Oryzias latipes: one gene and its partners. The protein of the gene in region 1 interacts with the protein of each later gene in a biochemical or structural test. Links are inferred from orthologs where the notes say so. Each region holds a gene or a part of one and is shown in the gene's direction. Other genes may lie near its edges. The genes, in order: arfgap1, ADP-ribosylation factor 1 and lrrk2.

Region 1 (10,266 bases):
TCTGGAGTGTTCTGGAAAGCACAGGGGCCTGGGGGTGCACCTCAGGTGAGAAGGGGTTTGGTGCTGCATAAACATCAGATCCTCGTCCTTTATGTTTATTTTGATTCTTATTTGTCAGTGGGACCTCCAAATCTACCAGATTTTCTATTAATATGCTGCAAAAGCACAGTAAATATTCAGCTGTAAATACTTGATTGAGGTTCAGATTCAGAACACTAATAGACACTCAGATTACTCTATTTAGAAGGCTTGGGCGTTTTTAGTGTTTGACTGACTGTGATTGTTTTCCTCCTCTGCCCATCTGCAGTTTTGTGCGCTCAGTCACTATGGACAAGTGGAAAGATATCGAACTTGAAAAGATGAAAGCAGGTGGAAATGGGAAATTTCGTCTGTTTCTTGAGCTTCAAGATGATTATGACCCCAACTGGACTTTACAGGAGAAATACAACAGCAAAGCTGCTGCGCTCTTTAGGGACAAGGTTAGACTCGCATGTTTACAGATTAAAATACACTCTCCCTTACATGGTTCTCATTTTGCTTTATTTTGAAAATTACACTAACTTTGGTGAAATTGTCTACTTTTTGTTTTCTTGTTAGACTAAATAAAACCAAAATGTGTTACGACAGGTTGCTACGTTAGCAGAAGGGAAGGAATGGTCCATCGAAACATCTTCGGCCAGAAACTGGACCTCTCCTCAACCCAAGAGCAGCCAGTTATCCTCCACTCGGTAATCCAGACAAAAAAACAACTAACATTGCAATTTTTAAAATATGGAAATGGAAAAGCTAAATGGGTTGAGTTTATTTTTCCTTGTTTAAGGCCTGTAGGACCTGGACGAAACTCAGCCAATTCTGGTGACAAGGCATTTGAAGACTGGTTGAGTAACGATGTAAATTCTTATCAGAGGTTAGTTTTCCTTTTTTAAATTATGTATTCCTCAATGTTAAAAAGAAAAAAATAGTATGTAAATTGTTTTTTTTTTTAGTGGAGGTGGTTACAGCGGCAATCAGGAGAACCGCTACGTTGGGTTTGGCAACACGGTCACTCCAGAGAAGAAAGAGGACGACTTTCTGAATAACGCCATGACTTCAATTTACTCAGTAAGTAACACTTTTTACTAGTTTATACCCGGGTTCCTAAACTTACAGTCGATAATTGTTTATAATATATTGTTAATAATATAAAAATAATTCTGATTTTATTTTCAGGGCTGGAGTAATTTCACAGTCGGAGCCAGCAAGTTTGCTTCTATTGCCAAAGATAATGTGAGTGTGTTTACATAAAAAAACTAAAACTGAGTTTATACACTAAATTGCTGAATCACCAAGAACAGCAATAAAAAAGTTGAAGCAATTATTTATCATTTGCTTTCACACAGACAACCAAACTGGCAAACCAAGCAACTCTGAAAGTAAGAGTTCTTTGGCTTTAAGCTTCTTATATGTTTAGTTTTTAACCCTTTTTAATGTCGCTCTCTCTTTAAAAGCATGATGGTAGAAAAAAACTGTAAGATGGTGAACTTCAGATTTCTAATCCCTGTTGTTGCTACTCTATTTGCCCTCTCTGGATGTAGTTAAAGGGTTATAAAGCACCCCCAGAACCGGTAAAGCACTTTGTTAGGTGCATGAAGTCCTTTTTTAAGTATTTCTTTTTAATCAATTAATTTCTTGCCCATTTTTTTTTTTTAGATTCATTTTTATATTTCTTAATGTTGCTGAAAGTCTGTCAGGTGTTTCTGCTTGTTGCCACAAAACATTACTCATCTTGTGTCTGTTTTAAGTTGGATAAGCTCTGAAAGCCATTTTTGTTATTTTTTAAAGGAGAAAGATTAAGTGTTGTCTTGCCTCTACAAATACAGGTACATCTCAAAAAATTAGAATGTTTTGTAAAAGTTCAAAATGTTGTCATTTTTAAAAGTGAAACTAAAAAATATATAGAATTATTACCAATTACAGGTCTTCATTTCTTCTCATTTTGATGATTTTGGATCATAGATAATGAAATCCTAAAAATTTGTGTCAGAAAATTAGAATATCAAATCAAATTAAAAAAGCATCTTTTAAGTGCAAATCTGCAAAAATTTCTCTGCACTAAACAGCGGTCGGGCCTTATTTTGCATGAATATGCATCAATATTCTGTGGCATTAGGGCAATCAGCCTGTGTCATAGGTGGAATAGAAGCCCAGGTTGCTTTGATAGCTGCCTTTGGGGCATCTGAATTGCTGGGTCTGGCGTCTCTCACCTTCCTCTTGACCTGCTGGAAAATGAAATCACCATCATCACACTGCTTGTCAGCTAAGGTCAGCTTGAAGAGATCCAGAACTTCCTGATAGATGACCGCATTAACTGTAGATTTTAGAAAACCGCGTGGATAAACACAATTGCAAGACTCAGGAAACCTTTGCAGAAGTTTTAAGTTATTTAACAGATTTGGATGTGCCACTAGTTTGATCCAATTTTTCACAAAGTTCTTAAGTTCTTATAGACTAAATTTTAGATTTTTATCCCCAAACTTTCAAGACATTTTAAGATTTTTAAATTGTTACATATAAAAGTTTCACTTTCTTTTAATGACTGACAAAAATGGATGAACTTTTCTGCTCTATTCTAATTTTGCAAGAAGTACTTGTACTGGGTTATCTGTGTCTGCATGGCAACTTTTTTTTGAAACCGCTAAAGAGCTCTGAGGGGTGTTATGGTAGAAAATAATTCACATTGTTTCTATGAACTTTCCATTTAATCCTGGATTATATTTTCAGCCCGTAGTAATTAAAAATTCCCACAGGAATTACGCAGAAGGGGTCATTTACCATCTGGGTTGTATTGTTCAACAGAAAAAGAACAAATAAAACCTGAAAAAGATGTTTTACAGTGAGAAGGAAAACACAAATGTGTACTCTTTAAGGTTACAGATGAATTATTTTGAAAAGTTTTGAAGAAATTAAAGCTTTAAAGTGTTAAAGAAGAAAAAGTTCTCTTTTGGAGTTCTTAGATTGTAAACATTAATTGGTGAAACGGATCTTAGAAAAGGATCGATGCTTCGGTGCAATATAGCTTTTCTTAGTTAAATAGCTGAATTAACATCATTTTATTAAAAGGCTAAAATATGCTTTTGTTTTGAAGTAACACTAATTATCATGTTAGCATTAGCAGAGAGAGTTTTTTCCCTATGTGACTGTATTTCTAGTCTATTCAATAATCTTCATGATGGACACATAAGGAGCTAGAACCTGGCCTTAAAGAGAGACTAGTGGCTCCTGCGGGTTCTAGCTTGGAGCTCTGTTCTCTTTCTGCTGAAACTGGCTGTAGAGAACAGATCATTACTTAACTCTTTGGCTAAAGTGCCTGAGTTTGTGTGGGAGGTTGAGATATCCTGCCTAAAAATAATCTGCTTTATCTCGTTTCTGTGACTCTGGTGCCGCTCTGACTGAGGTGCATCCAGCAGGGTTAGCTGACTTCTGAGGAGAAACGGCCTCTTTGTGTGCTTATTTTGTGCCATTATATCCCTGTCAGAGCTGTGGTCTCTGACTGAAAGGCTGGAAAATGGAAAATGAGTTTCCCTCTCTTTATGATTTTTGTGATAAACTTTGCGACTTGGGATGACGGCAGATCTTATATGAAAGCAGACTGTGTTAGCCACAGTTTGTCCAAAACAAACGCCTCGTTTTTGGATGGTTGCATTCATTAGTGTAGTTAACAAGCGGCCCTGTTGGGTTTCAGTCAGTGGACCAGATTTTTAGTGGCAACTTAGTAATAAATGTGGGCTGTTTTACATGGAAAAGGTAAAAATGCCTGTTTTTAAACTGTGCTCCTGCACAAGTTAAACCACGTTTTTATAAACTATCTAGAAACATGATATCAAAATTATAACTGGAAAAATTAATATAAGAAATTAAAAGGTCAAATATACTTAAAAACTGACACTTTTATGAATCCAAGTCTCTTTCTGAAGATGGAAAATACTTGTTTTTTTTCTACTGTCACACCCTTTTCTGTCTCTTTCAGTGTGACGTTCGATGAAAATGCTTAGTTTCTGCAGCTAAAGAAGAGCCGCTCGGTGTCATGTCTTAATGTGAATGTTAAGCTGTTTCAATCAAACTTTCTTTTCTGACTTCCAACTAGGCAACTGAGTTAGGACAGACATTAAATGAGAATGTTATCAAACCCACACAAGAGAAGGTAAAATGAATGTTTGAAGTTGTCAGTTTGGTGGTGGGATGCAGTTCTTTAAATGGAAAATAACAACCAAAATGGCTTTAGATGTGAATGTGCTTTTTCCCTCTGCTGCTTGTCTTTACCACTTTATCTCCTTTATGCCAGCCTACATTAAACGACAAGAGCATGCTTAAGCCAATCTCCACTCACTGTGCCAAAAATAAAAGTTGTCTTTAATGCGAAATTGTCTTCAGATGATTCAACCTTGTTTAGGGACATGGCTTGGTTGGATTCCTTCAGATCTTGTAAAGCTTTATTTTAGTCTTTATGAGTTTAGTCTGCACAAATAAAAGCTGTAATTGGCAAACAAGATGTCCCTTTTACCAATTTTAATTCATCCTTTTGCTTTGACCTGAATTAGTGGTGAGAAGCTGGAAGGTTTTGTCAAAATGTTTTCCCTTATACTAAATGTTCCCTGAATTTTTGAAGGGCTAAAGCCTTCTGCTTAATAGAATATCTTTTTTGTTGATTCTGCCTCAGTTTTGAAGGCAGGAATGACGGATTGATGATTTGCTTACAGTATTTTAGTTTATGGGAGTGGTTGTCTATGAAATCTTTAGGTTTTACACACAGTTGGTTTGAATGTGTCACACGTTCAAGTGGCTTTTAAAGTTGATAGACTTGACTTTTTGTGGTGGTAAGTGGAGTAAACACGTTCTACTCTGGTAACAGAGAATCATGTTTTGATGCTCTTTTCAAGCAAAGTGAGACTTGAGAGACCAGCGTGTTATTTTTTTGTGTTTTGCTCCATACAAATTGCTCCTTTTGCTTGTTCTATCCAAAGGAATCAACACACTTGTCTTTCAATGTAAAGCTGGCATTAAAAGTGTTCACAGCCCGTTTCCCTTTTCTCTCTCATCCAACTGTCTTTTGCATTTGGCTCTAATTCTTTCCAGAAAAAGGCTCACATTTTCTATGAAGCAAACTTATTGGAATGTAGATTTTTTTGTTTTTTCTAAATCTTAAATGTGGCTCATCCAGGTGAAAGATGGCAAATTGCTAGATGAAATGGCAGTCAGCTTCTCTGGGATAGCAAACAAGGTAGGATAGGCAGACCTCTGCCGAGCTCGTCTGACGCAAAACCAGTCTCCTGAACAGAGGTCATCAGATCTGAATGAAGGCTGACCTAGTTTGAGACGAGCCTCTCGGTCAGCAACGACTTTTTTTGTCCATTCGAGGAGACTGGTTTTGCAGTGTTGATGAAATGTAAACAATGCTAATATCATGTTGTTGTTTTTTTTCTTGCTGTCGTTAATGTTGTGGCGGTGAGTACTGCTGTAAAGTGCAGAAAAAGTAGGGATTTATGTTTGTTAAAGGAAAAAACATTTGTAAAATGTTTTGTTAAAGACCCACTCTGATTGTCTTTTTATCTTTTGGAAACCTTCCCAGTGGTCTTATAATTATGATTATACCTTTTTGGCTGAAATAAAAAAAAAACCTTTGTTGTTTTCTAGGACATAGTTTCTGCAGAGTGGCAGTAGTTCATTAGAAATTCCTCTCTGAGTTGTGGGCAGGACTGTTGGTGCAGAGGTACCCCACCACCCTTCCTTGCCCCGTTGCTGAGAGCTCGGAGCAGGGAGCTTGTGGCCCGGTCATCTTATTTTCTACGTTACAAATAAAATCATTTTTTAAACTATTTATTCTTCTGCTCCTGATTAATAACAATTTGAATAAAGAAATACTCATAAATGCAATTTTAATCTTAATTTTTTTTAATGTATGTCCTCCGTCATAAAAAAATGCCACAAGAATATGTTACAAACACCAAAAACATGATTGTCATCAGAGTGGGTCTTTATGCTATCAGTAAACACTGTACAAGTAAAAAAAAAAAAAACCCTCTTCAGGAAGTCATCTTTAATTATTATTTTGATTCATTCATGTGTTCGACACATTCGCTGGTTTTAAGACGTGCTTTTTCTGACTCAGGTTCAGGGAGCTGGAGCAAAATTGACAAACCTCTTCTCCGGAAAATCAGAAGATGGGTAAATATCACAGTGTCAACAAAACAAATCTCTTGCCAGCAGTGTTTCATTTATCAATGCCAGATTGCAATAAAGCATTTCCTTCATCTACTTCTGTTCAGAACCGGTGCAGAGAGCTACCAGAACATGGATTCAGCTGAGGGGTATCAGAGCAGTTCCAACAAGCCAGTGTCAAAGGACTTCTGGGAAACCTTTGGTAGCAACACTTCCTTAAAGGAGAAGAAATCTCCCAGCAGTGACAGCTGGACCATCCCAGATAATTCTGCTAAGAAGAGCTCAGACAGCTGGGACAATTGGGGTTCAGAAGGAGCGTCTAACAACAAACACAGCACGGAGGAGAGCTGGGAGGCCTGGGACAACAGCTGGGAAAATGCCGATTCTAAGACGAAGAAGAGTCCGACGAAACCTGAAGAAAGTTGGGAAGCTGCAGACTGGTAGATGGCAAACTCCTAAATAACATCTCACCTCTTCCTATTCTCTGTCTCTTCACCTGTCTCCTCCTTTCCCGCTCATCCTGCTGGCACTTTCAGGAAAACATCTGCATCATCTCAGCCCCTGTTTTTTTAAGTTCTTTGTTTCTCCATAACTTACTTACAAAACAATCAAAGACAGAAATGGATTAAGCTCTTAATAAAAGGAAGAAATGAAGCTGTTCAGAGCTACAAGTCACTGTAAGTTATTTCCATAAAAAACCCAACTGTATGTAAAATGTAAACTTCCTTGAGGTACCTCCCAAATATAGTTCCAGAAAACAGTCTGGGTTTTATGAATGAAGCAAGTACTGTTTAGGTCATTGCAGATAATGGCACGCATGAAAGAAAAATACTGTAAATTGTTGTAAATAAGAAAAACTGGACTAAATACAACCTGCCCTTTTCATTTAATTATGTCCCTTTTTGCAAAAATGTTTACATGTTTTGTAAAATTCATTTATGCCAAACTTTACTTTGCAGCTCATTCTAATCTGCAGTCTGTTGTGCTGGAGAAATGTACGAGTCCTTTTTGCAACATTGATTAGTCTTTTATAATGAAAAATAACATTGGAACCTCTCTGATTAAGGCCTTTCTACAGCAGCTTATGTGTTTGAGATGTTCAGAAAGATTAGAAAGCTACTTTGGCTCGTGTAGTACGAAAACTATTTTTTTATAACAGCATGACGGGGCAAGTAGTGCTCTCTGGTTGGTCTGAAGTAAAATATTTCAATTAAAATGTACATGTAGGTGCAGTGTTACCCCTCAGTGAGTCAGTGGGTCAGCATGCTGTCTTTCTCTTTAAAATTGATCAGAGTCAGAATTAAACTGTGATTCTAAAACTCTTAAAGTGTAAATATCTACATATAAAGTCATTGTTTTCTACATTTCCTACACTCATTGGAACATCTTTATTAAGGTTCATATTTTAAATTAGTTAAAGCTCTCAAACTGTTTTCAAACTCATATTACACATCTTAGATATATTATAAAAAGCAAAAAACTTTAAAATTTGATCAAAATGATTTTCCTTTTTAAAGTATTGGTATTTGGTTTGTGGAACTTATTTTCTTCTTGGCCCTTTTCAGTATTACTCAATAAAGCTTAAGCTGAGAACTATTTACTTGTACTTTTGATAGTTTATTAAAAACGAAAAGCAAAGGAATGATTGGATCCTGTACTGATTGTGTTTGCTGGCCAGTAATCTTCAAAGATTAACTTGATGGAAAATTCATTCAGTTCTCGTTGACCTCAGGATGGAAAACATCTTTCATTCGCGGCTTCGATGAGTGACACATAAGTTCTGGGAGCTTTATTCCATTTTTTTTTCTTTACTACCTCTTACAAGTTTTGTATTTGCTGATTGGTTTTCAGAGGAGAACCTTTTTCCACTCTTTTCACTTGATTCCAGGCATTTTTTTGTTCAACTTTGTGGGGTTTTTTTGAAAAAAAAAAAAAAATTTGAAAGAAAAAAAAAACAGAGCAGCAAGGTTACAGTGTTTCTTATGTAATTAAAGTACTGTGCTGTAAAAATAAGTTACTGCTGTAACGTGTGTCTTGCTGAAACCGCACTCGTCATCCTGTACGGTCCAGTGTGAAGAGCCTTAACTAGCTGTGTTTCTGTTGCTGCTGTGTTAGCTCGTGTGACAGTGATATGGACGTCCATCCATGAATCTCCAATTTATCCCCAAACTGTCTTTGCATCACTGAGGCTTAAAAGTATGTCGGCCATGTTTTTTTTTTATGTATGTTGAAAGCCTTTGAGCATTGATAATCTATTACTGTCAAGCCAAACCTAAGCAGTTAGTTTTCTGGAAACAAAAAACAAAGGTTTTATTGGGTTATTTAATTTACATACTCACTACAAAATGAAAAACACCGTAACTCTTCATATAAAATTTATTTTTATTTATATATATACAAGTATGTGTTTTTTTTTTTACTTCATCTGGATTCACTTTCCCAGAGCAGCAGTTGTGATTTTGTGCCTGTAAAACATCTAAAATTGGATTTATCTGTATGTCTATGAAACAAATTATGTGAGAAATGCTATTTTTGATGTCATGCATGATATATAATGTGGATCTAAATACATGCAGTTGTTTCTTCAGTGAATTGAAGTTGTTTGCTTGAAGTCTCACCAGCAGCCGCCCGTCTGACAGAGTGAGTCTGTGATGAACCCAGCTCAGTGCGGAGAAAATTCCTGTTCATGTGGATCCTATGAAAAATAAAAAAATGTATTGTGAATGGCATTTATTTCCCTTATGTTTTATTTCTCTTTTTAAAGATATACACAAAGATCCACCTTAGATCGCCTTTAAAGGGCCTTCATCATGCTATTCTTAAGTCTTTCAGTAGACTATATGATAATATATTTACCTTTGGCATACTAAATAACAATTTTTTATTTAATATAGTGTGAGGAAGACTTGCGATATTAGTGATCAATATTGCGATGACACTTTAACTTGCGTTACATGAAAAAATAGCAACACATCCAAAAACATGATTTCCATTTCACTGCAACAGTTTCATTTAAAGAGTCAACCCTTGTCTACATAGGAGACGAGCATCTAGCATAAAAGAGCTCCATCCAATTGGCCAACAACGTGAAGGCCTCCATCCGATTGGTCAGATGCATAAAGGGGTTTATTAAATACGTCAAGCTGCCATAGGACTGTTTCAGCACATTTAAGGTAACCATTTATTGCAATTTTTGCAGTCTTTTGTGATATTTGTATGGCACAGCTTGATATTGCGATAACGATAAATTTGCGATTTATTGTGCAGGCCTAATATTGTGCATATAAAATGAGAGTTTTTAACGATCACTGGAGAAAGTGTGTGTGTTGGCTTGGCAGTGCAGACTCTTTCTGAAAGGGGCTGGTCCTCACTTTGTGACATCACAGTGTGAGGACCCACTCGTTTTGGTGGATTGGGGGGGGGGGGGCTGGTGCTCAGAATGCAGGATTCTAGAGGAAAACTCAGAGATGCGTAAATTGATCAAAATTTGGGGTTGTTTTTTGTGAAGAATTAACATTATAATACACTTAAACGCGTAAAAAGTTGATTTATGACATAGGAGAGATTCTGATCTCAATGGGTCTTTATTTGGTTAAAAAAGCAGTACAGAACATAATAAAAATAGTGAGTTTGAGTGATAGGGGAGCAGGGAGAGGCAAACTCCATATTTCTTCCTAAATTGTATATAAATAAAATTGAATTACATAATAGATAGCTACCCTCATTCATTGCCAACTTTCCATTTTTAAAGGAAAATAAGGGCTCAGTTTTCTCATTGTTTTGTATATCAGAACGTTTTCTGCGTCAGATTTAATTATAAAATACTATAACTATCTTATAACATAACTTTATTGAGAATAATTCATTTTTATGAATCAAACTTAAAGGAAAGATGAGTAAAGTAATGGCTTTTAGATTACACAAAAACCATTACATTTGCAGAATTTAGACTCTTAAGAGCCAATCACAGGGCTAAACAAAAATAAATAATGCTCACAATTCCGAAAAAGACAAACTAAAAATAATTCCTATGAAGAGAGCAAACCAAATATCTTCATATATTTTTTGGGG
Region 2 (11,040 bases), on another chromosome or scaffold:
GGCGCCGCTCTGGGTGAGCCCCTGGAGGACTTTGGCGGGCGATGAGGACAGCAGCCTCTGTGGCCATGGTAGCTCAGACCAGCACTCTGATGTAGAAACCGACTCTGTAAATGGAGAATGGGAGTCCTACCCAGATCCCCTGCAGGAAGAAAACAGAAGTGCAGCCGAATGGGACACTGGGTCGGAGTCAGACATCGATATCTACATGGGAGAGGAGGAATTCCTGCAGAACAAGTGTCAGAAAACTGACCGAGACTATGAGGGAGACTGTGAGGAGGAAAGGGCCAATGAGGAGGAGGAGGAGGAGGAAGAGGAGGAGGAGTGGGACTCTAGTGCATCAGTGGAACATCCTTTTTCTCTCAGAGACCTCTTCCCTTTGCTGCAGAAAGGTCAAAAGAGATTGTGGGGATCAGAGGAAGAGCTGGAATATCTCAGGAATGGTGAGTCTGAAAAAAAAAAAAGAATCAAAGCAAAAACTGAACAAAGCTTGTTGTCACATTTTGCAAAAGAAGTACCCGTAAGAGAAACCAACATGGTAATAAAATGCATTGATTAGGTCAAATTTTACAAAAACTTATGTTACATGAACACATTTCTGCTTTAAGTCCCCTTTGCAATCATTTCCAATGGTCCTTTAAGACAGGCATGTCCAAAGTCCGGCCCACGGTCCGCATGCATCCCGCACTCAAATCTCCATCGGCCCGCAGGCTCCTGTCAAATCTAGGATCATTTGTTTCTGCTTTTCAAATACGAAATTCTCAGTAATTTGGGTAAAAATGGGTCTAGTTTTCAATTGCAATAACATTTAATGTTATTGTAAGTGTTCAATTAATGCTGGTTCACACATTTTCACCTCACCAAATCTGGCTGTCAAACAGTTTGAACCCCCCTGTTTTCAGATCAGACACTGAGTTTTTGGCTGAGGTTCTATCCTCCTCTCCTGTGTTTTTCTCCACCGTCTTTTCTGGTTCTTGACAGTGTCCAGCAGGTTACAGGAGGAATTCCAAACCCTTACCTCACCGCTACACTTGAAGACACTTGTCTTCCAGATAATTTTGTAAGGACTTTATTGTCCGGTCCAATCATTTTACAATGATGTCTTAACAACTGTGTGGACCCCTTAAGGTTCATTCTGTTTAAGGGATGGGCAGGGTAGGCTTGGGTCAATGCACCACTCCCTTTTTAGGTTACTTTTACCCAGAATTCAATGGGAAATGTTGGAATATCCATCCATTTCTCCATCTCTCCCCTTTTCCGGCCTCCTATTCTTTTTCAGGGCCACTTAGCTTTTAAGAAATCTTTCTAAAAGGGTCAATAAAACTTCCTACAACATTTGGTTTGGGAAAATTGGATCAAACAAATGTTTTTTTGTCCACTCTTTTCACCTGTGACCAGGGGTAAGCTAAATTTATTTTCTTTACATTAAAAAACATCCAAACATCATATGTCATTTTACCCATAATTCTTTGCCCAAATCACAATTAATATAATCATTGGTGCTTTAAAAAGAAACAAAGGTGGTGGTTCCCACAAATGTATGCTCGTTTGCATTTTGTGGAAAGAGGAACAACACAACTGTACAAATGATAATGACAATATAAACCAAGATGAAAGACTTTTCTGGACTAATAAAGGGATTTCCAGATGACTTCCTCAGGAAAACGTGAGAATGCGGAAACAAACATTTGTCAGTGAGACCACACATCATTAGGAATGGAGGTGAAGCAACCATTTGTCTAATCAAGCAAGAAGTCCGACTGCTCGAAGCAACGAATAAAAGGTCGTAACGCTGGAACAGTTGATTCCAGCTGATGAAATACAAACTGAGAAAGGAAAACTGCTGGTGTTATGAACAACAATTCAGTCTGTTTGTCAAAGCAGAGTCCATCGTCCAAAACATTTCTTCCTCTCCAGATATCCCAGTTGGGACCACAATCCAGTGCTGGTCTCCAGAACCTCGAGATGAACCTCCGTCCTGCTTCAGCTGTTCAGACACCTCCCAGATGGATGCATCAGAGAATGTGAGATTCATGCACAAAACCTCTAAAATGTCGTCTGCACCAGTGAGAGCCTGACCCATAAAACGGCCACATTTCCTTTTTCTTCCAGGACTCTGATCATTCTTCTGATGACTTGAGCTCTGGCGTCTTCTCTTCCTGCAACCGTCACTCGGACGGGCTTCTGGAGTGGAGAGCGGCGGACCGTCAGCGGTCCTCCTGCTGCTTTGAGGGTAAAACGACTCTCCTGGTCACTCGCTAATCACCTGCCACAGTCTGACATTTTAAAATCAGGTCTCTGGTTCTGGTGATGGCAGGTGTTGATGTCTGGATCGAGAACATGCAGGGGGAGTGTCTGCGGATCCGAGAGAGCCGGCAGGTCAACGTGGGTCATGTTGCCGTAGGAATCAGTGATCAGGTATGAAATCCTGCCTTCATTTAGCAAAAAGGAATCTTGATATCATGTTAAAATCGATTGAAACATATAAGTCTAAGGGACTTTGTCAGACTTTCACATCTTTCATCACATGGATCCTTCACCAGATCTGGGGAAAGGCCTTCACTTTGGAAAGTTTGGACAGAAAGCTCGTGCCCCTGGAAGAGAAGGTCAAAGTGTCGGGTCTGTGGCTCCGCTGTGTTCCCGCTCCTGACGGGTGTCAGCGCTGGAAGTGGAGGGTCAGAGACGGCAAGCTGGAGCTGCGGGACTGAAATGGACTTGAAATGCCGGAGAACTCTTCTTCCTGCTCAAACATCGTCCTTCTGTCATGAGGTTCACTACCTTCTTCAAAGACTACGACGCCCATCCAGACTGAGGCAACAGCATCCTCAGTCGTGAAAGACAGAAAGCCGAGCCGAAAAAAACAAAGCTGTGGATTCACCTGTTGCTCTACATTCCAACAGCTGCCTGTGGCCACAGGCTCGGAAAAAAGCAAGTCTCCCAAAGGAGGTTTGCTTGTGACTCTAGCAGAGCTCCGCTTCAGGAATTCAGACCTCGGATGTCCAACAAGACCCAGGAAAAATAGAGCTTTGCACAAAAGTTGAGAATGTTCTGTATTTCAATAGGATTCTTTTCAGAGAGGGGAGATCTGAGGACGGAGAAAAGGATAACGGACGTGCAGGAAGGTCTGGGGGTTGGCGCCTCTGTGACCCCCGTCAGAAAAAGACTGAGATGAACGCATGGAAGAAAAAAGGTTGAAGCCCTGTGAAGAAAATGTCTCCATCAGCAGCAGATCTGGACTGTTGACACAGAGCAGGTTCGGCCCCCCCCTGGATTTATGCTGTTGGCTCTGACCTGCAGACTCAGCAATAATGGAGATCGTTCAACCAAGCTTTGAGTTTTAACAACACTTTGTCACTGACGACCTCTGAAATAAACAGGATCTGTTTGCCCCCCGCGGCTGTGGATGACCTTTTGGGGCTCCTCTGTGGAGTTTTCTGTTTGCAAAAAACTCTTCAAACCAACATTATCTTTGCATTAAAACTTTTTAATAATGTAAATCATACAAAGATTGTTACAAGTTAGGGACATCTTAAATCTTTAAAAACAAATACTTTCTATTTAAAACATTTTTGAACGTCTTTGCGTTTTTTTCTTTGATTTAATTAAGTACAGATGTGGTTTTTATGCTTTTCTGTTTAATTTTAAACTTCCTCTGTGTTTCTGTGGGGAAAAAATTCAGAAATAAAATATTTAAACAGGCAGGAAAAAAACTAAATATTGCTAATAGACGTGACAAAAAACAATGTATAATAAAACATTTGGTGTATAAAGACTGGATTTAAAGGAGCATAAACTGTTTAAATTGTTGGTATTTTGTCAAACTTCTTTTGATTCCTCAAGTTATATGAAACAGCATTTTGTCAAAAACACAAAGACACTTAAAATATAATCTTATTTTGCAGCACTAAAGCACTTTAAGATGTCTAAAATGATTAAAATCTAAATGAAAAACATTACTGTTCCATAAATATTCCATTGGGAATAATGTACATACTCAAAACGCTACAGCCAGTTTAAAAGCGAAGCTTTTACGTGGAATTATCACGCATCGTTTCCAAAACAGGACAAACTCAGGAGTGCAAGAAACCAGATTTATTTTATTCTTTAAACGTGAAGCAGCTCAGGTCCTGCAGAAATACAGCAAATGTCTGGATGCTACGGAGACAGGAGAGGGTTAGTGATGGGAAGTGATCTTGAGTGGTCAGAGCAAATGCAGGCTCACTGGGATGAGGAGTGTGAGCCGCAGGTAGCAGAGAGGGGGCGGAGTTAAGTCCTCTGTACAGCAAATGGATGGAAGTCAGACACAGATGTCAGAAAAGAGAAGGATGCTCGTTGGAGCGTGGTGGAACTCAGGAGTCTAGGGCTCAGTCACAAGCACTCTTGATTTTGCAACCCAAAAAACTGGTCTCCAGGAGGGTCTCTGGGAAATGGTTCCAAAATTGCAGAGGTGCAGGGGCTTATGAGGCTTGGGGCAGAACGGTGATGCAGGGAAACAGGAGCAGAAAACGGCCATAGCAGCATGGAGCTGAGAGCAGAATGGCTGGGCAGGTTAGCTGGAAGCGCGGCTGAGTGGCGAGCAGACAGGTAGGCGAGCAGGCAGAGGACAGAGCAGGTGAGTTGACTGAATGCTTGCAGTGCAACGATCCAGCAGAGAGTGAGGGGCAGAAGCAGTGATACCTAAAAGAAAAAAAATACTCATCACTCACCTTCAGCAAGCCAAATAACCAGCTGTTACTTTTGCTCATGGCGGACCACCTCTGGTGGGATATTTATGGTGGTCTTCTAGTTGTCAAGTCTTTCCCACATTGAACCAAACTGAACCCATTTAAAGACATTTGGGGAACCTGTACTGGTGTTTTGAGTTCAGTAGATGATGGTGAAACTGTAAGAAATATTCAGAATTTGAGCAGATTTCTCCACTCGATCAGGATTTTGCGAAATCCTGTTTTCTAGGGTTTTATGAGCTGGAACCTCAATTTATGTAAAAAAAACAACAACTTAACAATTAAACCTGGACCCTGAATCTATACTCTATGAAAGCTTAGTTCTAAAATGGAATTATAAAAAAATGAAAACACTTTTCCATGTATTTTATTAAGTGTCTGTACATTGCCACACAAGTGAGCTCATATAAATGATGGTTTAGGTTTTTGGTGTCTCTGGAACCTAATGTGAACCTGAGAATGTAGGAAAAAACAAAAAAAACGTTAATAAATAAAAGCAAACCAACACTGACATGTATAAAAAAGACAAAAAGAGTCAAACAAAGAACAATGGATCCAAGTAGAAAAGACACCAAAGGAAATTCAACCCAAGAAAGACACTGAACACAATGAAAACCCGCCTGTTGTTCAACCTAACAACAAGGAAGAGAGGACAATATCCTTTATTTGTCATGATCATTGTACGCCTTTCTCGTGCACTCTGCTGGAGAGTGCCGCATGTTCGATCCCTCCCTCAGCTGTCAGCGGCTGAACCGTCCTCCTGTCACGTTGACGGCGGTGGAACTTGAAGAACTTGAGTTAACTTCCTCGACATTTTGTGCATCGTCGACGCACAGACGATCTTTCTGCTGATTGGACGGAGAGCTGGGCGGGGGCGGGGACATTTGGTACACCGTACGCGCTGTGATTGGCTGAGGCTTGATAGTGGGCCGTGCCCGACGCCGGTGTCTCCCTGGTTGCGCAAGACGCCATTTTGGAGTGACAGTGAAAGATAACCTAAAGACCAGCAAGCTGTCTTTTTAAAGGTAAAAACCACCAGAACCAATTACTTTTTTTACTCTGTATGCCGTTTTATGAGAGTGAGTTCAAACTCGACCTAAATGATCAAATTTTGGTGTGGTTTTGCGTGACGTCATGCTGTTCTCTATGTAATGTGACGCGGCATCGAGCTAACGGCGGCTAGCTAGCTAGCTACGGTGGTTTCTGGATCGACTGACAAGAAAAAAACGAGTAAAAGATACTCACTTTACACGACACATATTACACCAACGGGCTTATTTATACGTCAACCTTTAACTTCGTGGATACGTACCGCCTGTTCGTTGTTGACAGAATGATTTCGCACGGACCAAACCCAGTCTTTAGCCGTTAGCAGCAGGCTAGGCTCAAGTCGAAGCATCCGCCCTATAGTCAAGCTAACCATCAGTTGGTAATGGGTGGTGACAGCACAAACTTTCTGATTTCCTTTAAAACAAACTGTTACATTTGATATATGACTGCTGCCCGTAAAAGGAAAATACTGCTATTTTATTTTTTACTATTCTTCAGTCGTTTACTGACTGACAAGGCCCCAGTCATCTGTTAGCTGTGCGGTTAGCCGGCTGTCCGAAGTATTCGTCCGTCCAGTTTGCTGCGGACTCCATTAAAACACGCAATTTATGGTCCTGGAGCTCGCACGTCAAGTCGAGATAGAAGTTAGGGGAAATATTTAGTTTGTTGATGCTGGCCACATTGAGTTTCGATCCTAATAGCCGAAAAACTTTGATAAATGACATTTTCACTAAAAATCCCAATGAAAACACATCTGATGTGTTTATGTAGACCTTCACAACTCCCACGTTAAGGAAAGCAGTTATGCACATCAGTCTGGAGATTTACCTTAAACCGTGAATGCCTCCCAAATTATATTTAGGGTCATCGATGCTCTGGTACTGTCATTGATTACCTACAGATGACTAGGACTCTAGGTCAAACTATATGTCTGAATAGTTATTTTGATGGTGCAGATGTAAAACAGTTTAGCCAAAGTGAACATTTAACTCTATATCTCTAAATTTCTGTTATTGAGTCTAAAACACGACAGCGTTGCTTCAATCCTACTATTATTGTCTGTTATGATGTTCATTTATGTGTTGGTTTTCTTCTACTATTTCTGTACGAGTACTAAAATGTTGTAGTTATTTACTTTTGTTGTTTTCCAGCTCTGTCATTATGGGGAATGTATTTGCAAGCTTATTCAAGGGCCTTTTTGGCAAAAAAGAGATGAGAATTCTAATGGTTGGGCTGGATGCTGCTGGAAAAACGACTATCCTTTATAAACTAAAGCTTGGAGAGATCGTCACCACCATCCCCACCATCGGTAGGATTTCTGTTTGCAATGGATCGTTTTTCATGTCAAAACGCTGCATGGATCTGTTCATCCTGAAACTGTCTTAGTGAGAGAGATATTGTTAAACCCAAAAAGCAAAATGTTATATTAATGATATATAGGTTACGCCAAAATTGTTGTCGGGATTTTTTTTAAAAATTGCGTTGAACGAAGTCTGTTCTGATCTCAACAGAAACAGCAGTAACAGCAGTGGATTGCTAAAAACATTGCAATTTCATAACCTCTCTGTTTCTGCATACAATGCATTTTGCTGCAGTATTCTGTGCTTGAATAACACAAATCTTCTGGTTTCTCAATTAGTTTCTCCAAGCTGACACTGAACTCATCACTGTTTACCTGTATTTCATGGTTTTTGAGTTAACCATTGTGTGTCTAAGTCAATACTCCGGCTGTCTGGATAGAAAACATTTACACCGTCAGCCATCAGAGCTGACTTTCAGCTCGTTTCCACAAAATCTAAACATATTGTGGCCAAAGATTTTTACAAGGAGATGCATTTTGCTGCCTTTGATCCTAGTTATTCACGGCTGTTATTGTTGCTTCCTGGTGAATTCTTTCAGCTCGATCTGTGGATCGGCCCAGATCACATTCAGCTGGATGAGTTCAGATAAACGTATGAAAACGGAGACGTTTCAGCTCCACGTGGGCTTTTCTCTGCTTATTTGTAATATCTCTGTTCTGCACGTTTTGGTAGCTTTAGTGTTGATTTAAACGTTTAGTTAAAAATGTATTTTATCAGCCTTATCATCTGAGAACATTTTTAAAAGATTGAAAAAAATGACATTTAGAATGATTTAGTTTATGAATTTGTAATGAACAAAGATATTGACAATTAATGCTTTTAACAATGGAGATACTCTGTGGTAAACTTGAAATCCAATTAAAATGATAATTTATGACCTGTTTAATGTAACCTGGGGAGCCTTTCAGATCCGTGTCTGCCACTAAGCCTGTCCTCATTTGTGCAGGTTTTAACGTTGAAACGGTAGAATACAAGAACATCAGCTTCACGGTGTGGGATGTGGGCGGTCAGGACAAAATCAGGCCGCTGTGGCGCCACTACTTCCAGAACACTCAAGGTAAGGGCCGACTGTTGGAGCGCATTACTGCCTATAGGGGGCCTAACTTCTGCGCTGAAGATGATCTGAACGCTGCTGGACCGATGACTCATACTTTTGTTCAATTCTTCTAAGGGTTTATTGTTTGACTCCTCCTTTTTCCTGACATTAAAGTCGTCAGCAACTATTAGGGCTATTTGAGTTTTTCCTGCCTAGAAAATCAACAGTTGGTGTAACAGTTAGGTTTCAGAGACAAACCTCCACGTCTGGTTTTCCTCTCTATATTTCTCTGTCAGGGCTTTTCTTTTTTATTTTGTCAATTTTAATATAAAAACAAACGTTTTTAAGCTTTTGGGAACGACATCACCTTAAAAGTAGTCTATTTTCACCATGGCAACAAATCAGTGTTGTTGTTTTAGGCCCAAATCGTCACGCTTAGATCCTGGGATTAGACTATCTGAGTTAACGTAAGTCATTTGAAAACAGAAGAATACATGAAATATGATAACAGTGGTCACCTGGAAAAGGATCTCAGCCAATCAAGGCTTCGTTTATGTGTTGTGTGTGTGGACTGTGTATGTGCTTAGCTGTTGAAAATATCGCAGGTCTAGCATATATGGGACTAATTCTTGTCAACTGCAGTGAGCATCCAGAGAGGCTCTGGAAAACTCAGCAATCCTCACAGGTTCTGGGTTTCCCATGGAGTTAAACCCTCCTGGCTCAGTATGTGTGGAGTCTGTAACCGTTCATCCAGACTCTCCTGGAAAAAAAATACATACTTGCATGTCTGATAAGCTTTGTTGATTTATTTAAAATAGAACTACATTTATATAAATGAATGACATTTATTATTTACGTAGCAATTTACAAAAGTGCTGTACGATAAAGGACTGAAGAAAGTTTAAAACTAGGCAAATTAAGAACACAATTCATAAAATTACTAATGCAATAAAATACATAAAAGATCAAAGTAGTGCAATAATAATATGTTCAGATATTTGTGGAAAAAAGATCCGTTAAGTCTCGGGTCAGCTGGAGTGACTGAACGAAACATCGGACACCAGCACAGGGTTTGTGCCGAGCGGCAATCAGACCAAGAGAAACACGCTCACAAGGGAAGAATGCACCAGTATCTTTAAAATCACCTGTAGGGTCAGAATTAAGCAGTTCAACAGTGAACAGCACTAAAAAATGTGTGTGTTGTCAAAGTTACTGTTGTTTAGTCACAGAAAACGGGCAAATAAAGAAAGTTTGATTCAGGAACTGTCTTTTTAGCAGCTAACCAGTTCCAGTTTGATGGAACTGATTCTAGTTGACTTCTGATCGGCTTGAAAGCTGCGTCCAGGTAGACGTTTGGACTCCCACGGCTCGCTGTTCACAGAGCTTTTCCTCTCAAGGCTCTTTTCTACACTTCAACCTGCTGTTGTGCTGCCAAATGTTTTGTCTTCCATTTTTAGTCCTTCACTCCTGATGAAGACTTTTCCTTTTGCTACACTTACCACAGTGGGAAATAAAATAAACCCACTCTAATTTATCATGTGCTGATCATTTTGATCTATTTTTTTTATGACAAGTACTTTTTGTTTGTTTGTATATTATATCGGGTAAAAAATTACCCGGCAAAAGTGATGCTGCCATTTTTATAGCCAAAGTGGTCCACGGTTAACTAGTAATACCCGGTAACCTAGCAACGAGTTAAACTGGACGTTAAACATCCTGAAATATTTTTTAGAAGCAAAGCTTTTGACAGAATGTCAAAGATTCCCGACTGTAACTTTGAAGTGTCACAGCTGTCTGACTGTATCTCAGCCGCGTGACATTCACGTGTTTTATCACGACACTCGAAAGTCTGTTTCACCGCCGCCTTGTGGTCACAGTGGCGCATGACGTCCAAATGACAAAGGTTGAAGCAAACGCGTGTGTTAAACCCAAAGACTCCAGTTCAAGAGTTTCTATTGGATCCAGTCAAAGATTTCAGAAGTCCTCCAACATTTTATGTGTTCGTCTGTAGAAATAGCATCGTTACAAAGAGGCAACCTCCTCTTTCAAAGCCCAGCATAAAGGTTTTGTAATGCAGGTTCGATTCCTCTGTCTGGCTGTGTCTTTCTGAGCCGGTGGTCTCTGCCGCTTTCTTCGCAGGGCTCATTTTTGTGGTGGACAGCAACGACCGGGAGAGGGTGAACGAGGCCAGGGAGGAGCTGTCGAGAATGCTGGCGGAGGATGAACTAAGGGACGCCGTGCTGCTCGTGTTCGCAAACAAACAGGTGAGGCCGGACGTCTGCGGCGTCTTCTGTGGCGTGAAGAACAGGCGGTAGCCGCATCTCCATGTTTTCAGGATCATTGTTTTGAGGAGCGATGAAACCTGTTTGTTTGAACTAGGGCTGCACGATATGAGGAAAACTTGCGATATGCAATAGTAGAGATTAATATTGCGATAACGATATAATTTGCGGTATATAAAAAAAATAGAAAAATGCCAAAAACATCATTCCCATTTCATTAGAAACAGTTTAAAATTACACTCCAAATGACCCTCATCGACATAGGTGACAAACATCTAACATAATAGGCCTCCATCTGATTGGTCAACAATGGGAAGGCGTCCATCTGATTGGTCAAAGCATAAAGGGATTTATTTGATTCGTTAAAAGCGTCAAGCTGCCATAAGATTGCTTTAACACATTTTGGGTTTACGATTTATTGCGATATTCGCAGTCTTTTGCGATATGCCTATTGCAGAGCTGGATATTGCGATAACGATAAATTTGCGGTATATTGTGCAGGCCTAATTTGAACGAAGGCCATCTCTGATCAGGACCTTAGAGCAACAGTCAAGCAATTTAGTGAAAAAACTCTATTTAATGTGGGACAT
Region 3 (10,715 bases), on another chromosome or scaffold:
TAATTAACTGAACTGAAGACAGCTGTGGATCATGAACCCGAAACTGGAGTGAGTGACAAAAAGAAAACCAAAAACATGACCAAGAACAATGCCACCGAATCCTTACAGGAACACGCAGTTCTTTTTTTCAAATCACAAAAACTGCATCTATTCTACTTTTGCCAAGGACATTTTCAAGATTTTCATTGCAATAGAGAAAATCATCACCTAAAATGTTCTAGTGCCGTCTTAGGTACATTTGAAAATGATATAACAAAAAAGACCTTATCATTAAAAATGGGGCTGATGTCAAATGAGCGCAGCCTCTGGAGAAAGTACAGCCTGGACCTGGTCTTCAGTTAATAGATGTTTTAAAGCATGTAGGGGTGGAAAGGGTATCAGGCAAATGTTGGGGCTAAAATTGTGTCCTAGAGTCCACAGAAAGAGTTTTCATCCACCTTTTAGGAAATGAACAAGATTTGTTGTTTTCAAAGTGCAGTAAACTGTCACGGTCAGGCCAGCAGGTTGGAACCCAAATGCAAGAAGAACCATGAGCGAAGGTGTAGCAAAGTCCCAGGGTTTCATTCCCGAAGTCTCAACCTAAGAACATAAACACAAAGAACTGCTATCACACATAACCAGCTGACACTAGCCGCGTTTAAATGGGCAAAAGTAATCGGAAAGAACACCTGATCGGAAAGAAAATGCGTCATGTAAACGCGCCATTCGGAATACTCTGCCCCGGTCAGACTCGTTGGGATCAAAATTTCTTTCCGATCGAGATAGGTGGGTTATACCGATCGTTTATCCGATCGTTGTTCATGTAAACGGTCATTCCGATCGTGTGTCACTACTGGTCTTGTTTACCTCACGCATAGACGGTGTGTCACTCCAGAGAAAGCTTTGGAGCTCAAACAGGACCGACCAGCTGCTCTGTAGACGCCCCGTGAAAAGCGCCGCTCCGCTCTCGCCCCGCTGGCTCTCCCCTCTCTTTCATCCCCTACGAGGGACATGCGGGGCAGGAGCGCTTCGTGCCCCCCGATGCTCACTCGGTCCACTGGCACCCGAGTGAGCAGAGCAGCTGGATTAATAACTTCCTGTCTGATGGGAGGAGAATGCTTTTTTACGTGTGCGTTTTGTTGTTTTGTGATGTGTGGGAGAATTCAGACTGCGGGCCGTCCCGCCGCTCTGGGTTAGCGGCTGCAGGACTCAGGAGGAACCGCCAGCTCACGCAGCAAGTTTGGGGAAGCAGAAATAAATGTCACTCAGAAACTGTTCAAACAATCACGTGGATTTGTGTTTCCAGTTGTGTCCCGACAAAATAAAGACTGATGTTATTCCCAGACATTTACATGCAGCCAGGATGCAGATTTCTGCGTTTCTCGCATGGTCCTGGATTTTGTGTCCATCAGGCTAATGTTGTTAGCCTTTGTTGATAGCCTGTCCTAACCCTTCTTCCAGCACTGATCACACGGATTAAATAAAAACGATGAGCGAACAGGCGCTTCATAATATTCATAACATTAATAAAAGCACGTTTGGAAGATCGTCTCGTATATTACCGAGCTGCTACATTAAATAAATGTATGTGGCAGCGGTTTGTTTACAACGGGACCTATTTCCTCATCCGGGTGATTTTACACTACTGCGCATGCCCAAATGATTCATTCCAACCGAAAGTGTGAGCCATGTGAACGTTTGTTCTAATCGGAAAAAGATTTTCTGATCCCATGTGCACGGGTGAATTTTAACACGACCATTGATCCGATCAAGATATTCTGCCCATGTAACCGCGGCTACTGAGGGCTCAGAGAGAGTTGCTTCAATGCAGTGAAAGCCAATTAGCAAAGGAGATGATACCTGTGCTCGATTGGATCTTTTTCTATCGCATTTTAATCTTCAAAGGCTTCATCAAACAATATAGATATGGTCAATGACACCCCACAGATCCAGGTTGTCCGTGAGAAGGAAAGGCATTCAAAATCCACCTTCCCACGGCTATTTGGCCACAGGAACACAGAGCCTCTGTGGGGAAGGATCACTTATATCCTAATTTTGTGGCTTCTGCGCAGCGTACCTCAAATGAACTTTTAAAGGTATGAGTATCTTAAAACTTGGAGAAGGGAGTCACCCAGCTGACTTTGGTTGACTCGTCTGACTCACTGACTCGTTTTTACTCTCAAATTGTGTGATCTTTTACACCTACATTTGCTCACCATGTTTTAAATCATTCAAGTTTGAAATATTTAATTTCTATTTAGTCGTGCTGTTTTCTAGCATTACCACACAGAATGAAACACTTGTTTGTTCAAATGCTAATTACGGTTTTTTTTTAAATTCTTTGCATTTAGCTGCTGATCTTCTGCTGGTTGGTATAATTGCAGGTATACAAAGGTTCATGTGATAAACACAGGAAAACTGGGCTTCCCAATGTAGTTAGTATGACAGTGTAAGGATGAATAAAGACGCAAAATTGGGGGGGTGGGGGGAAGGTAAACATCTTACGAGAATTAAGTCATAAAGTTAGAAGAAAAATGTCAACATTTTATAAGAACAAAGTTAAATGTTCAAGTGTCTTTGAAATTTGAAAAGCTAAATATAATTTTAAAAACATTACACCTTCCTTGTAAAATTACTAATTTCTGAAACATCATTGTATGACTTTTTCATCATTATTGCACATTTATTTTCGTAAAATGGTGACTTTCGCTTCTAATTTCATTACTTTATTGCACAACTTTATTTTCATAAAATGTTGTCTTTTTTCGTTTTAAAAGCAGGGCTTTATATGCTCATGAAGCTTAGCCCTTTTTCTAATAAATTGACAGCTTTCTTTTAGCAAAATATTGACTTTTTTCTCATAAGTGCATTACTTTATTTTTGTTACATTTTTAATTTTTTCATGTAATTCTACGACCATTTTCATCATATTTTACTTTCTTTCTTGTGGTTTTGTGACTATTGTCTTAACTTTTTCGCTTGTCTCTTTTTTTTACAACTTTACAATCAAAATTTTGATATTTTTCTAATACAGTTATGACTTTATTCTCGTCTATTTCTTTAGGCTATTTCTTCTTATTATTATTGTGGCCCTAATACTCTGTCGTAAAACATATTTGTAAAATGCGATTTTTAATTTTGGTATAAGACTAAATGAATTTATTTCCACATTGGGACCTGCATAGTTTTTTTTCTTTACTGGACCACTGACGGTCCATACAACACTACCGTAAATCCGGGCGTAAGTGCGCAATACAATAAAAGTTTACTCTTTCAGGTAACGAAAAGAAAACGGAGACTTCTTTAATAAATCTAGCATCTGTTCAGCAGAGGAGGGATTACTGTCAGGAAGAAGGGTGATGGTTTTTAATTGGCCTAAAATAACAATAAGAAAAGAAACGGCATCGTCAGTGTAAAGTCTTTTTATTGAGTTTTCTTTGTTAAATTGACCATTTTACGTTACCGACTGTCATGAAGTCAAACGATGAGCGGACGTGAGCGAAGCTGTCAGGCGTCGTGAGGAGGGCGGACCGGAACGGACCGGGTCAGTCAGTGGGACAGCTGCCAGTGAGTCTCCTGTGTAAACGGGAAGTGTTTTTCAGACTCGAGTCATATGATTGAAGTGCGTGGAAACAGGAACTCGCCTGTGAAGAGAGAGGAACCGCGGTCTTTTCGGATTCTCCGAGGCCGCAAGAAGGAGGAACACGTTCTTCTCTCAGAGAAAGTGGTTCGAGGATGAGGTCAGGGCCGGAACTCACTGAGTTACTCAGGGACCGCGTCCCCGCCCGGCTCGGCTCGGCTCACTGTCGCTGCAGGAACATGGAGCAGCTTAGCTAACGTCTACGGCGCGGTGAGCGCGAGCTCTTCTTCGTTCGTCTTGTTCTCCGGGAAACACCGACCGACTGACCTCGACCAATGCACTAGTACCGGGAGACTTTCAGGAGCATGGTCGACCAGGAGGAATTAGAAGAACGGCTGAGGAAACTTCTGGTGAGGCTGAAGTCTCCTCAGGAGGACAGGCTGATGTCCACGCTGATCCAGATCATCCAGGATCTGCTCTCCTTGGCGCTCGAGGACTCCGGTAGGAACCACCCCCCCCCCCCCCCCCAACACCACCAAACGAAAACAAACAAACAAACATCAACGTCTTAGCCTCCCATTTACAGAATATTTCAAATAGTTTGTTTAGCAAAGACTTGAATGTCCCTGAAAAGTCTGCATGATGTTTTTTTTTATTTGGGTTTATGATCTTAGATGTACTTTTATTATGAAATCTATTTGGAAAATATTCCCCCTACAATAATTTCAATAATAATGGTCATTTTTAAAATGACTTTATCCCTGTTGAAACTCCATTTCCATGGTAACGGCACAATGCCACTGCCATGAGTGGACAAAAACAAAGCAGGACTGCTTTAACTCCAATGAATCCATGTCTGAGGGTTAGTACCTCCGACAGGGTCAACTCTGCTCTCCCGTGTGAGCAGACATCGTGCCCCGGAACCACCTGAAGGACATCCAACCCCCCATTCTGAACCTGTGATGCTCAAGGGCATGCCGGCAAAACATGTGTCTTTTTAGTTCATCTCTCAACCTGCCAGTTTCAGATCAAGCCGACACCCAAAAAACAGAAATGCTCTCCAGCCAGAGGTCCTGCTGATACCTTCGTTTTGACTCAGAAAAGTTCCCCTAAAACACAGGCTTTCATGCAGATAACAGCTGCATGTAGAACGACTAGAATTGAGTCTGCCTTCAAATGTCTCCATCTGAATTTTAGAGTCGTACATCCGATGGTTTTGGTGTTCTTGTGGCATTTTTTTTTTCTCATGACGGAGGACATATATTTTTGAGTATTTTTGGGTTCAAATTTTTGTAAATTGGGAGTAGATGACAAAATGCTGTTTGTAAAATAGTGATGTAGATGTAATAAACTGGGGGGGGGGGGGGGGGGGGGGGGGGGGCACACGCTTCCTGCTCTGCTCCATTCTGATGCATCCACTTGCAGACGAATAGATCCACGTATGACTTTGATTTCTCAAACTGGACTGGAATCCGGATCAAAACTGTACGGCTGCATATTGCCGGGCGATGTTGCTCGCCTTTTGGTTACATCGATTGGGGTTGTGAGGGTCTGTAGGCTAGTGGGAGAGACTGTGAACAGATGGGCAATGGGAAGAGGGGGTTGCTCTGCAACGGTCCCACCCATAACTCAGAAGCAAATTTAGAATGAAATCCTGCTGCTCTGCAGGAACCATGTCCTAGATTATGACAAATATTTTGAATTGAGCTAAAAACAGCATAATTATAAATAAAAGGCCACTCAGTACGCTTTGAAAATAGATCAAAAGAGGATCAGAGTGGGACTTTAGTTGATGACCAAATCATGAAATACTCAGAAATGCAGTTTGAATTTATTTTCTTTATACATGTCTTCCATCATAAGAAACATGGCAGAGGAAAATGTTCATTTTTAATGTTTTTATTTAAACAACAACAGGGACCAATAAACAGACATTTTACTTACTTCCACATCCTTTAAACTTTTAATTTCAAACAAAGTTCATTCCAGAATTGGCAGTAAATTTTTCATTTTTCATTTTTGATCCAAAAACTACGTTGTGGGTTCTTTACTTGTGATGGATTGGACTGAATTTGCCTCCACGATGTTACCTCCTCCTCGTCAGGTCCTGCTCTCTCATCCAAGCTTTCTTTTGTTTTATTGCAGCAGCTGAACTGTTTAAAGACAAAGAAGTGCACACACCTCTTATGGTTGTGCTGTCCACATACATCAGCAGCAGGAGAGTCCAGCAGGTAATGCAAGGCCTTTCCCCATCAAATCAACAGGAGTTTTTAAATCAGCTGGTATCCACAACCAGTCTAAGCTCTCAGAGTGGGGTTCTGATGCACACGTGGACAACATTTTTGTTACCCTTCCGTTATTGAAAGAAAAGCTCGATGGTCAAAGAAATTTGAATCTGAGAAAAGTAATAAGTAAGGGTTAATGGCCGACGAAGTGTGCGTTATTACTTTTTAACGCACGCCGTGGAAGCCTGAACCGTCCGACGCGAAGTGCGTTAAAAAGTAATAACCGCACACTTCCAAGGCCATTAACCCGCTTATACCATGGTCACTTACAAAATCTATACATTTGAACCAGTTTTTTAGTCCTTAATTCTTGTTTTTTTTCCAATTTGGATCACTTTTCTCACAAAAAGCGGACTATTTGTTACGTGATGGACCACCGCTGCAGTCAAGATTCGGCGATATATATATGCTGATCTTTCCAATGGGTTGAATGAAGCATCAGTTCAGAGAGAAAGTTCACCTCTTACCACTTGTTTTTGTCCAAATGATGAAGCAAAAGGTTGTTTTGAAGAAGCCAGAGCAGTGATACAAAACATTTAAACTAGGTGACCGGAACTTCTTCTTTCACCGTGCGGTTATCAGGTTTTAATGCACACCCAGCAGCCAATCAGAATCGGGTATTCACCCGGACCATGGTATAATGAAAATTAACCAATGAAGGTCAGATATTGCTTTACAACCACGCCTTTACAGGATGATTTACAATTTGTACCAGTAATCTAATACTTTGAACCATATAGGCAATCACTGCGATCAAACGATTCCTGTAACTGTCTAACAGACTCTTATACCTGTTAACAGGTATTTTGTCCCTCTCCTTGTGAGCAAACTGCTCCTGTGGTTTTTCCAGACAGCATGTTTCAGTATCTTTCAAAGATACTCTATAGGATTGAGGACAAGGCTTACAGAGGGCCATTTTAGAATAGTAACGCAGTGTTTAATTGATACTTTATTTATTGATGTTTCCCAACCCTTGTCGTCGGGGAACACTGTCCTGTTTGTTTTTCCATGCTACCCTGTTTTAGGACACCCGATTCACCTCGTCCTCAAGCTCTGCCGAAGCCTGATAATGGCCATCATCAAAGGCAGGTCTTCTCTGAGTAGAATAGGGTTGAAAGAAAAGGGTGGACAGTGTTCCCTTAGGACCGGGGTTGGGAAATACTGATCTAACGTTTTCCTCTTAGCCTTATTTGGGTGTTTTTAGGTATCCGTTTTTGGGTTATTGTCCTGTTACAGGACCCATGAGCCATGACTGAGACCAAGCTTTCTGACACACACCAACAGATTTCTCTCCAAAATCTCTTAAAAGTTTTGGGATTACCATCATCAGAAAAATGCTTCAAGAGCACCAACAAAAAACATTATTTCCATTGGAGTGGGTCTTGATTAACCTTTAATCTCTGAAGAAGTTTTTCTGGGCTCTTTCATTACCATTCGTATTAGCCAACTCTTTGATTTGTCATCGGTTTTCCTCCTGTACCCACATACAAGGGGGTTGTCTACAGTCCTATGGATCTTTAAATTCTGAACAGTATGTGCAACTGTTGTCTCAGAAACATCAAGTTGCTTGGAGATGGTCTTACCTTTGACATGCTTGTCAATAACTTCCTTTCCAATCTCTTTTCCTTTGCTTCCTCTGGTCCATGTTGAGTGTGGTACACACCATGTCACCAAACAGCACAGGGACTACCTGTAGCCCTTTACATAGGCCCACTGACTGATGACAAGAATGTGGACACACATGGATGGTCTCCATTGTCGTTCTTGGGGTGCCGTCATTTAAGTCCAGCTTTGATTTAGGATTGTAGTTTTTAAAATAATTCTGTTTGACTTTCATTCATTCTCATAGAATTATTATTTAATGCTATTACTATCAGATTTAGGTTATTTTTTAGACCATTGCAACGTGCCTCAGGAAAGTCGTTTTCACACACACCTGCATGTTTTAAGGTGGAACATCTTTCAATTCCACTTTAAATTCAAGACAGGCGTCCTCTCCAAATTTGATGTTTAGGTTCTTTCTCTCTTTTTAAGCAGATAATGATCTTAAAAAATAAGAAAAATGCTGGGGAAAATGTTCAAAGTAATTGACCTGTCAGTCATTAGCATGTGTGAAGACCCCACCCTAGCTGTCCTGACACAGTGGCAGTCGCTGCAGCTGTGGTCTGTAGTGTGCTGGAAGCGGTGTGTATCTGTCTGAGTTTCAGTCCTGCTTTGCATCTTAAATAAAACGCACAAGTGACCTGTATTGGCCTTATCCGGCATGCCGGTGGGGAATTGTGACCGCTGTTTACTCAAACTTATCGCAGGCGACACACTGAGATTACAACAAACTGAAAGTCCGATTGGGTAGGCACTCATGCTTAGACCATGTACAGCTACAGCTTCACTTTTTAAAAGAGTTCAATTTAATTGATACAATCTTTCTATTAGTGTGTTTCTTTAATGTGTTTTATGTGTATTTGAAGTGGAAGTAAAGTTTTCGTTCCTGCAGGTGGGCTTGTCATTATTCTGTCAGCTGATAGAAATATGCCCCGGCACACTGGGGCAGCTAACCAGGCCGCTGCAGGCTGCCAGAGACTGGGAGGTCCTGCCTGTGCACCAGTAAGTGTCCCAGTGCCCCAATCTTCCCATAATAATGAAAGGCTTGTGTTAAAGGGTCATGCAAAGAAATGATTTGGAAGCTGAAGTTGTGACATGTTTAGAGGAGACAGTGTTATACATTTGCTGGCAGTAAAAAAAAAAAAACCCAAGTAAGCCCTGGAAGTAACAGACTTTTACACTTTAGTTGGATAACTTCAGCAAAAGACACGACTTTGTTGCAGTGGAACCATTTACAAGTTCCACGTGGCTGAATTACAACCAGCATTTATCTTAACTATTCAAATGCCAGTCTGTGTTTCCAGTTTGCTCCAGCAAGTGTCATCCATTTGTCACAAACTAGTGTTGATTGCAAAAACCTCCTGCATTTTCTGAAAGACGCTGTTGTCGTGTGCTGCAGCTGTGGGCTTAGAGCCCAGATGCTGATTGTGCTGCTGTGTTTTCCAGGCAGATCCTGAAGGTGCTTTCTCAGCACAGCAGAGACTGGCATGTGACCATGGTTGGACTTCGGGCGCTGGCTTTGCTGCTCACATCAGGTGTGCACCTGCACCAGACCCACTGCTGTGACAGAAATGTTGGAGTGGGACTTTGAGAATAGTTTGCCCTGCTTTCTATTTTCTAAAGCTGACTTAATGTTTTAGTTCTTCAGTGTTTGATCAAACTGTGTTTACTTTCCCGATGCTTTCTTCCTCTGTTCCTGAATAGATGTGATTCCCATGTTGCTGCTGGAGGAGGAGGAGGAGGAGGATGTCTTTAGCTTGGTGGTCCAGGCGATGAAGACTTTTCCTACCAGCCATGAAGTTCACTTTCACGGCTGTGGAGTTTTGCAGCGGCTGCTTAACACAGGTGAACAAACCAGAGCGTTGGAAACTGGCTTAAAAAGGAAATGCTTTAAAAGGGCAAAGGTTAAGGCTGTCGATGTGGTAAACAGAGAGAGAGCGGTTGACCTCTGATTGCAGGTTCAGTTCCCAGCTTGTGTGGAAGTGTCCTAGGGCAAGACACTGAAGCCCACACTGCTCCTGGCACATTAAATGTTTCTGAGAACTGCACTGAGTAACTTTTTTCTCTGTCAGGATTAGGAAAACTTCCTAATTTGTCATTCTTGTGTTTGTGTTCTCAGTCAGTGCCGCTCATCTTGTGGAGTTTGTGGAGAACCAGGACCATGATGTTGTTCTTTCAGCTCTTCAAAGGTTTCCAGGAAGTCCAGGGGTGCTCCTGCAGGCCATGAAAGTGCTTCTGCCTCTGGCTTGCACCGGTAAAATCCAAATACACCAAAATCTTTCTAAAAAAATGTGTATGGAACATTTCTATTAATTAGGTCCGAAACTTGAAATGTAAGTTTTTCATATATAAAACAATCTTTTCCTGAAGCTTTTGTGTATTCAGTGGACAGGTTGATCATACATGAATCGACAATACAAGACAGGAAAGATCCAAATAAAAACACAACCTCATTCAAAATGCACTAAAGTTCCAGTCATGGTTCAAAACAATCCAAAAGTATCCTAACGAGTCAAACCAACTGTAAAACACCTCAACAAAATACTTCAAATGTGTCCAGAATTAACAACACAAGCTGTAATGTAAATGTAAAATGGTTCTGGAATCTTTTTGGATCTTTTCCGTGTACATTGTCTTAGTTTAGGTGTTTTAAGGCTTCTGCTGTGAGTTTTCAAGGCTTTAGATAACAATTACAATAATAAAGACGACAACTGAAGAAGGTTTCACTTTGACCCACATCCTTTTTGAACTAATGTCCCAATGAAACGGTTTTATGTCATGTTAGTCAATCCAAAGAGAGAGAAACATAGCAGTCTTTATGTGTTTATGCATTTGGGGCAGAATGCAGAAGCTTTTTTAACGCTTGCCTCAATAATAGCCACAATTCAGTTCAAAACTTGATCTTCTTTGGGGGGGGTCATGGTTTTGTTTCGGTTCTAATTATGATTTGTGTATTATAAAACAACAACAACAAAGTCAAAATTCAGAAAAATCCTTTTTCAAATGAGCTAATAAAGAAATAATAATCAAAAAAACCTTTCAGTTGGCTCCTGGTTTAATGTCATAATTAAAAAAAAAACTTTTTACAAAAATGTTTGACACTTTCGGCGTAAACATACTGGTATGCAGCAGAGCTGCAAAAATTCACTTACACCACAACTCAGTGCAAAGGGGAAACATGAGGATTGTGGCTTCCCTATTAGCAAGTAAGTAAGTAAGTTTTATTTATATAGCGCCTTTCATGTTTAATCAATGGATTGTATATTTAT

Evidence for each region.
Region 2: the proteins of arfgap1 (region 1) and ADP-ribosylation factor 1 form a complex in vitro, tested with the Homo sapiens proteins (2 studies listed by BioGRID, with this or other methods). The link is inferred for Oryzias latipes from reciprocal best matches to the Homo sapiens genes ARFGAP1 and ARF1.
Region 3: of the proteins of arfgap1 (region 1) and lrrk2, one has a biochemical effect on the other in vitro, tested with the Homo sapiens proteins (3 studies listed by BioGRID and IntAct, with this or other methods). The link is inferred for Oryzias latipes from reciprocal best matches to the Homo sapiens genes ARFGAP1 and LRRK2.

The regions. Positions count from the first base shown.
Region 1 is NC_019863.2:27,804,828-27,815,093, forward strand, and holds the end of arfgap1 (ADP-ribosylation factor GTPase-activating protein 1), read left to right. Parts: coding exon 1-45; intron 46-307; coding exon 308-479; intron 480-627; coding exon 628-728; intron 729-820; coding exon 821-907; intron 908-986; coding exon 987-1,101; intron 1,102-1,209; coding exon 1,210-1,266; intron 1,267-1,379; coding exon 1,380-1,412; intron 1,413-1,574; coding exon 1,575-1,604; intron 1,605-4,123; coding exon 4,124-4,180; intron 4,181-5,197; coding exon 5,198-5,257; intron 5,258-6,145; coding exon 6,146-6,201; intron 6,202-6,302; coding exon 6,303-6,639; 3' UTR 6,640-8,916; downstream 8,917-10,266. UniProt on the Homo sapiens protein: GTPase-activating protein (GAP) for the ADP ribosylation factor 1 (ARF1). Involved in membrane trafficking and /or vesicle transport.
Region 2 is NC_019877.2:22,745,489-22,756,528, reverse strand, and holds the start of ADP-ribosylation factor 1, read left to right. Parts: upstream 1-5,614; 5' UTR 5,615-5,746; intron 5,747-6,922; 5' UTR 6,923-6,932; coding exon 6,933-7,080; intron 7,081-8,078; coding exon 8,079-8,189; intron 8,190-10,307; coding exon 10,308-10,432; intron 10,433-11,040. Other genes in the region: uncharacterized protein LOC101166422, read left to right, coding at 1-440, 1,915-2,021, 2,110-2,230, 2,315-2,415, 2,541-2,705. UniProt on the Homo sapiens protein: Small GTPase involved in protein trafficking between different compartments. Modulates vesicle budding and uncoating within the Golgi complex. In its GTP-bound form, triggers the recruitment of coatomer proteins to the Golgi membrane.
Region 3 is NC_019864.2:2,190,601-2,201,315, reverse strand, and holds the start of lrrk2 (leucine-rich repeat serine/threonine-protein kinase 2), read left to right. Parts: upstream 1-3,594; 5' UTR 3,595-3,924; coding exon 3,925-4,060; intron 4,061-5,704; coding exon 5,705-5,790; intron 5,791-8,338; coding exon 8,339-8,448; intron 8,449-8,892; coding exon 8,893-8,981; intron 8,982-9,150; coding exon 9,151-9,291; intron 9,292-9,565; coding exon 9,566-9,700; intron 9,701-10,715. UniProt on the Homo sapiens protein: Serine/threonine-protein kinase which phosphorylates a broad range of proteins involved in multiple processes such as neuronal plasticity, innate immunity, autophagy, and vesicle trafficking.